Arabidopsis thaliana: one gene and its partner. The main gene of each other region encodes a partner of the protein of the gene in region 2 in a complex. Each region holds a gene or a part of one and is shown on either strand. Other genes may lie near its edges.

The links. The genes of interacting proteins can lie anywhere in the genome.
Region 1: AT2G19730 (region 2) and AT3G58700 share a complex: the UniProt entries of both Arabidopsis thaliana proteins name them as parts of the large ribosomal subunit.

What each region holds. Positions count from the first base shown.
Region 1 is NC_003074.8:21,709,842-21,713,650, reverse strand, and holds AT3G58700 (Ribosomal L5P family protein), read right to left. Parts: upstream 2,207-3,809; 5' UTR 1,991-2,206; coding exon 1,988-1,990; intron 1,899-1,987; coding exon 1,791-1,898; intron 1,697-1,790; coding exon 1,654-1,696; intron 1,334-1,653; coding exon 1,138-1,333; intron 1,034-1,137; coding exon 835-1,033; 3' UTR 547-834; downstream 1-546. Other genes in the region: AT3G58690 (Protein kinase superfamily protein), read right to left, coding at 2,405-2,686, 2,767-2,899, 2,997-3,255, 3,456-3,591, 3,707-3,809. UniProt on the Arabidopsis thaliana protein: Component of the ribosome, a large ribonucleoprotein complex responsible for the synthesis of proteins in the cell.
Region 2 is NC_003071.7:8,509,762-8,513,835, reverse strand, and holds AT2G19730 (Ribosomal L28e protein family), read right to left. Parts: upstream 2,351-4,074; 5' UTR 2,276-2,350; exon of another isoform or gene 2,245-2,275; intron 2,098-2,244; exon of another isoform or gene 2,094-2,097; 5' UTR 2,085-2,093; coding exon 1,937-2,084; intron 1,467-1,936; coding exon 1,303-1,466; intron 961-1,302; coding exon 841-960; 3' UTR 545-840; downstream 1-544. Other genes in the region: AT2G19740 (Ribosomal protein L31e family protein), read right to left, coding at 180-259; rps15ab (ribosomal protein S15A B), read left to right, coding at 2,578-2,707, 3,283-3,443, 3,515-3,613; AT2G19710 (Regulator of Vps4 activity in the MVB pathway protein), read right to left, coding at 4,019-4,074. UniProt on the Arabidopsis thaliana protein: Component of the large ribosomal subunit. Essential in leaf polarity establishment, probably having a role for translation in leaf dorsoventral patterning to specify leaf adaxial identity.

The sequences.
Region 1 (3,809 bases), on a different chromosome or scaffold from region 2:
GGAAATGGCTTATAATAAATCTGTGTGGGATCAAGTCAAGATTCCTCCAGTCCTTTATTAAATTGTAAAATCATAAATAGATAAAACTATAAAAGCCTGTGTCATAATTATTAGTTTAATTACTCCATTATTGTCTCCAACTTCTTCTGTCAGAATGGAGCCAAAACTTGTATTTTCTGGTTGTATAGGTTTTCTGATTAGTTTATGTATGTAACGCGTGTTTACACACACAAAACGTATGTAATGTATATGTTTGATTTGGTCACTTCTGATCATGATAATTAATGTCGAACCAATCAATAATTCGCTCGAATCTGATGCAACTGAGAATTGACAATGAAACATGATTGGATAATGTTTTTGAAGTTGTTGTTATGTTAAATAATGTACAAGTACACAGGGTAATTATATAATTGACACGTCTTCTAAATATTAAACATATAGACGCATAGTCAAAGATTCGTTTAAAAATTTATGTAAAAATGCATTTTACCTCATGAAAAACTATAACGCAGTTATTAACTATAACACCAGAATGCGATTATAAGTCATAACACAAACGATTATTGTTGAACTAAGAGTGTTATTTTACAAAATTACGGTTTGGGGATGAGTTATGTAGATATAGAGAATGTTCATTACCTGTCGGAGTATCGAAAATTCGGAAATGTGTTTTAGACCTTTAGTCAGCTTTTGTCGGAGTAGTAGATACGCAAAATATATAAAGGAAAATCAAAATGTCTGAAGAACAGAGAAGCAAAACAAAACTGAGAAAATACGATTTGAACCCAAAAAAAACAAAACAGATGATAGCTATTTGTTTGACACATTTGTTTAACCAGTGATGTTCTGAGACTTGTTGAGAATGACTCCTTCATATTTCACCTGGAACCATTTCATGGCATCATCTTTCGTCACTCTATGCTGGATTCCAACACGAGTCTTGCATCTTCTGCGGCGCGCAACACGGTAACCTGGTCGCTCAAGAACAACATAGAAGTCCATGCCGTAGATTCCAGTCGATGGATCATACCTGAGATCAAATATATATTTAAAAACCCCGTACGTTTGATCACTGGTTACACAAAAGCCACTCTAAAGTTGTTCTATGTATGTGTTAGAAAGAATGAGACTTACTTGATACCCAAATCAATGTGCTCTTGAATACCAAAACCAAAGCAACCAGTGTCGCTGAAGTTCCTTCTCAAGAGTTCGTATTCTTTAACTTTCAATCCACTCTCAAGGAGCTGCATTGCCTTCTCTCCCCTGACAGTCACATAGCAAGCAATCTTCTCATTACGTCTTATACCAAAAGAACGAACAGTGTATCGAGCTGCAAAAGAGATAACAAGTGTTAAGATTTATGTCAAAACTCTCTTCATCCAAAACAAAGTTACAATCATCTTCCAAGCAATTGATACAAAACAATTGATAGAGCTACTGATTCTCACTACGATTATCTATGGATCCAGGCCAGTAACAATTAAAAATCATACACCAAAAAGTAAGAACTAATGACCTTCAAAAAAACTAACTCATCGTCCTAAACTTCAGAAGCATCGTGCCCCTGTTTTAGTCGAGATCACTAACTATCTCCAGCAAATTTTCTCAGAGATCGAACGATGAATTGATACAACTTAGAAAATAACTTACCCTTGGAGAAAACAGGAGTCTGACCACTCAATTGTTCCAACACCTACCAAGTTATCGAAGAACTAATTCCATTAAAATCGAGCATACACACAGGGTTGATATGAAAACCAGACAAAACAGATAAAAAAAAGTGAAACCTTGGAGGCTCTGGTGAGACGATCTCCACTCTCACCAACGGAGATGTTGAGAACCAGCTTCTGCACTTTAATGTCCCTCATTGGGTTCGATAGCTTCTTCTCCGACGCCTGAATTCAACCAAAATATATATCATCAAATCTCTATTTGAAACATCAAAAAACGTGAAACCAAAGAAGAGGAGTTAACTGCGACGGACCATTTCGGATTAGGGTTGCGATATATCTCCGGCCGACGGGAAAACACGAATCGGAAAGAAGAAACGGAGATGAAGCGGCAAACTATATAAACCCTAGTTCTAATTAGCCTTCTAGGGTTCTAAGCAAATTTTACGAGTACTCAAAATGACGATTGTACCCTCCTTTCTCCATCAAGCCCACGTTCCCTCACGTGACCTTTTTTCTCATGAACTAATATCATTCTCGTCTCTGTAGAATATAGTAATGGGTCAGGATTGGCCCAATAACTAGTAGCCCATAGAGATTCGAAAAAGTTTATTTGATGATTATCTCTATGACTCCATGTTTGATCACTCAAGTGTTTACATCATTGTCTGTTTTAGTAAATACCGTTACATAATAAAAGCCTCACATTTCGTCTTCTCTGATTGATTTATTCATTGAGAACCTATGCTTGCTTTACCCGGAGAGTTAGGAGACCGAGCCAAGCTAAAGCTACTAGAGCAGCCACTAAGCTTTGAAGCTGACCTACGGTTTCTCACTAATGGAACCAGTGACTGCACCACATCTGCCATTAAGGGTCTGTAGTCAGCTTCTGCTTGAACACACATTGCTGCTATTGCTGCAACTTGAACAACTTCTTTCGTAGAGTATTGTCCTTCGAGTGTTGGATCCATTATGTCTACTACTTTGTCTCTATCAGCCAATTGAGGCAAAGCCTGGAGATAGGAAAAGTTAAGTTATTAGAGCAAAGACAAGAAGAAATGACACAAGAGCAGTTTGTGAAAGGAACGCGTACCCAAGAGACAAGAACACCTTCTCCTGTAGCTCTCTTCATATCTACTGGAACTCTACCGGTTAGTAACTCTAACAGGACAACACCGTAGCTATAGACATCCGACTTTGTTGTCAAGTGACCAGTTAAAGCGTACCTGACATAAGATATTGAAAATATTGGTATTAGTATCCAACCTATCAAAGTTAACTGATGGAAACAAGAACAAAGAGATGATTGAGTGAAAAACATACTCAGGAGCTACATATCCTTGTGTGCCTAATACACGGGTAGAAACGTGTCCACCAGCTTTATCTGATCCGACTTTAGCCAATCCAAAATCTGAAACTTTGGCATTGAAGTTTCTGTCCAGCAGAATATTGCTGCTCTTAAAGTCTCTATGAATCACCGGGGGTGATACTTGTTCATGGAGATATTCCAAGCCTTTTGCAGCTTCCACAGCTATTCTCATCCTAGTTTCCCAATCTAATCTTGGTGGGACAGAACCAGACCCTAAATGCAAGAAAAAGAGATTTTTCTATCAAATCCAACAAGAATTCCAGACGTATATTCACCAATTCGTAATTATTATACACTATCTAGGATTCATGTTCAAATTGTTAGCATCTAGACAGATAGACTAAATTTGGAGTCTTCAGATGACAACTTCAAACATGCAGCAACTTCTAACTCTACTGGAAAAAGAAACTTACTGTTGGGAAGATACAGGTGTTCCTGCAGACCACCATTTGCCATGAACTCATACACAAGCAGCTTATGACTATTGTCTGAGCAATAACCAAGAAGTGCCAACAAGTATGGTGAACGCAGACGGCTCAGTAACTCAACCTGGCACCAGATACAAAAAATTGATCAATCAAGTAATCAAAAACGCTGCAAACAGCAAAATGTGCATAAGCTTTGAAAAAATAAAGATCAAAGAGTAAGCTAAAAATAATCAAACCTCCATCTTGAATTCTTCTTCCCCTTGCTTTCCTGCATGATCCATGAGCTTGATAGCAACTTTTCTGCCATCGTTAAGCACACCACGATAAACCAAGCCAAAC
Region 2 (4,074 bases):
AAATTTTCAACAAAGATTCAAATATTCTAACTCTTTTCATTCATCAAGAAACCTAATTCGAATCAATACAAGTTGCAATTTTAGTCTAATCATTAGACTCTATGCCCAGAACGAACTTAAGCAAAACGGAAACGAGATATTGCAAATAAGGTCAAAAGTATTGAAGCTTTAGGTTTTACCAGCTATGGAGGCGCCTGTGGAGATTGATAGTGTACTCCCTGGTCACGACCTCTTCCTTTCTTCCCTTTCCTTTCTCCATTTTGCTTCGATCTCCCTGGTCTTCGAAATGGTGTTGGAGACGGCCACAGCAAGAGAACAGAATTAATTCATGTCTAAGAAACCCTAATATAAACCTTTCCGTATGCTATAAGTTGGGCCGTCTATGGGCCTGATGGGCTTTTGGATAAGTATAGAGCATGCTAAGATGGAATTCTCAAGTTGGTTTTTGATGGGATCTAATGAAAATGTCAACATTATAGTCCACAAGAACATCACATTTGATGCAACAAATCTAAACATTTATGTTTGCTATTTTGAGTCAATTTAGGCTTTCAAAAGTCATAATATATAAGGACTTGGTTGTTGATTACATTTGATTTGCTAATAAAATCTAGAATAGAGATTTTAAGAAAGTTCTTGATTCGATAAAAGGATCTAACAAAATGTAACACAAGCACACCAGAAACATCAAGCATAACAAGATAAACTTCTAACTCCTTTATAATAAGGATAATGAAAAAGGAGAATAGCATTATGGTTCAACTTCAAAGCAACAACTTAAATAAAACCTGTTCAACAAAATCTTTTACTTCAAAAAAAACAGATTGTGAAAGAAGAAGCTTAAGCTTGTCTGTTTCTTTGCTTGGCACCGGACTTGGCAACCCTGAGACCTTTGCTGATGGCGCTGAGTCTAGCAAGTGCAGCTTTCTTCAAGTCCGGCCTGTAGTAGTTGTCCACCACCTAAACATTTACACAATCATTTGGTTTAGATTGTATTCACGTATGAAACCAATAAACAGCAACATTAAGCAGATCAATGAAAATAGCCAAGTGTAAAATTAATATTTCATCAATATGCCACAAAAAGGAGCCTTATATGAAGTTAAATTTTAATCTTTGCACAGCTATGCATCATATCGTTTTACCATAACATATTAACTCTCCTCTCACAGGTAGAGGGAAGAACATAAAAACCAATTGTAGATCATAGCCGTGAAAATAACACACAAAACTAGATATAGAGACCTATAAGCACACCATAGACATATAAAAAACACTAAAGTAATAAAAATTGAGTAATACCTGGTTAGCAACAGCCTTTGACATCCTGGGGAATTCCTTCTTGAGGATAGACTTGTTGACAGAGAGCTTAGGCTTGTTCTGCTTCTTGGTCTTGGTGGTGGCGAGCACAACAGCTTGGTCCTTGTCAGCGGCCTGGATGGTCACAGTCTTTTTGTTTGCAAGACCTGAAACCACATCAAAAGATTCAAACTTTAGCCTAATTCAAGACAATAACAAAACCTAATACATAGTATGAAGTGTCTGCTCAACTCAGACTACCATTTTTGTCTTTAAATTAGAAGATACATACACAATTGTAATACAGATTCAAATGGTCAAATGTAAAGAAACTACATTTCACGGTCAACTTGCAACAGATAAGAAAATAAGCTTATACTCGAGAATCAATAAAATAGTGCATAAAGACGATCTCAAACAGCCAAGTTTCAACCACAATCATCTAATAGTCGAGAATCCACAATCTTTCATAGAACCAAAAGCACTTAACACATCAACATTTCTTAACAACTTTAGTTCCCAATCTATTCTACTAAATCAACCAACCAGAGATGTAAAGTAATCATTTGTTCTCAAATGGCCAAGATATCATTTCGTTCAGAAACAAAGAATCTCGTAAACAAGAGTACAAATTTACCAGAGTGCTTGTAAGAGTGAACGTTGGTGAGGTTGTTAGTCTCCTTGCTGAATTGAACCTTAGAGTTTCCTCTACCGAACTGCTTCACCAAGAAACAGTTGTTGTTCTTCACGATCTCCCAGATCAATTGTCCTGGAACTGTCGCCATTTCAAATACCTACCTTCACCACACCAAAAATGATACTACCAATCAACAACACATACATTAACAGATCGATTCCTAAAGGCTACTACTATAGAGCTCGCTGAATCAAAATATCTACACAAAATCAGATCATCTAAGCTACGAAAATCAAGACATACTGAACTGAGAACAATTGAGAGTAATACTAAGCTCACCGTGAAATTTCGCAGATAGAGATCGAGAGATTTTAATGGTGGCGCCGGAGCTTTGTTAGAAGACGAATGGAGCTATTTATATATGACCTCTGAAAAAAATAAAACCCTAGCTCATGTAAGTGAACGTGAAAAGTCTAAAATACCCCTAATGTTTTTCGAAATGTCGAAATACCCACAATTCTGAGAAACGTTGGAATAAACCCATTTCCTGCTGCTCTGTTGAACTTTAGGGGTTATCGATTCTTTTTGATTCGTTGTCATTCGATTATAGAATTTGTATTAGAAATCGGAATTTTCGATCAATGGGGAGGAGAATATTGAACGATGCATTGAGAACGATCGTGAATGCTGAGAAGCGAGGGAAAGCTTCGGTGGAGTTGAAACCTGTCTCTACCGTAATGTCTTCGTTTCTCAAAATCATGAAAGAGAAAGGTGAGATTTTTCACTTCTTCTTTCTTCTGGTCTAATTGGGTCTTAATTCATTTCCCTAATTTTTCATCTACTTGTTTAGATTTATCAGTTTCGTCGACATTGGTTTTAGTCACTTTTGCTTGTAGTGAAGTATGATTAATGATCCATAGTCTCTATTGTTTTGTTGGTCCTTGAGCTGATCCTAACACGTATAGCTCAAGAATTTCCATGTGTGATCACTCGATGTAAGAGATTGGTTACAACATGGTCCCAATGATTAAGCTTTGTTCTTGGTTAACTATGAAGTTGCAGAAGATTGAAAAGTTTCTGTTTTTTGATTCTTATGGATAAGTTACATCTTGATCTATGGTTGGAGAAAGTCATATCTGCTCCTGTTTAGTTTATGGTCTAACTTAAGTTTGTTTCGATCTTCGTCTGTGTTTTGTATGTTTTTAGTTAGGAATTTGAAGTAGTTCTTTTCAAAGTTGATAGTTTGTGACTGAAGTATAAAGATACCATTTCTATGCTCAAACCGCAGAATCAGCTAGTTTTTTGTCTATTACTTTACAAAATGTATGTTGATGTATTATGTATAGGGTACATCAAGAACTTCCAAGTCCATGATCCACACAGAGTTGGAAGAATAACTGTTGATCTACAAGGAAGGGTTAATGATTGCAAAGCTCTCACTTATAGGCAGGACGTTAAGGCAAATGAGATCGGGCAATACACAGAACGCACACTTCCAACGCGCCAGGTTCGGTTCTACACTAGTTCTGAATATGCAACTAATCGTAACTTAAACCTTCTTTAATTTGTTATATGCAGTGGGGTTATATAGTGATTACAACTCCCGATGGCATTTTGGATCATGAAGAAGCTATTAAACGGAATGTGGGTGGTCAGGTTCTTGGTTTCTTTCATTGAACTGCAATACGGAAAGAAACTCTGATGGAGGGACTTTGATATGTCAAACCCTGCCATAACATGTCATTTGTCTGGCTTTTTCGACATTGTTTGTTTGTTTGTTTGTTTTCTTGCACTGCAGTTTCAGCAAGATGGAGAATTAGAGAACAAAATTTATTTCTATTATGACAACATTTCGAATGGTATTATAAAATCTTTCTCTTCGCAAATAGTTATTTTCTATTCTGTTTATCCACACAAAAAAAAAAAAGACAAGGAAAACCAATCAAGACCAAGCAGAATCACACCACTACTTCAATCTGTATAACGTGTAAGAATATCAAATTCAGTCAGAGTAAAGAATGAGGGGAACTGTTTTCCGTGTGAAAGAATATATATATGAACAGAAGGACAAGATGAGCAGATTCAGCGTCGACTGGGAGCACGAAGCGCTCCGAGCCTTGCAAAGATATCGTCATATT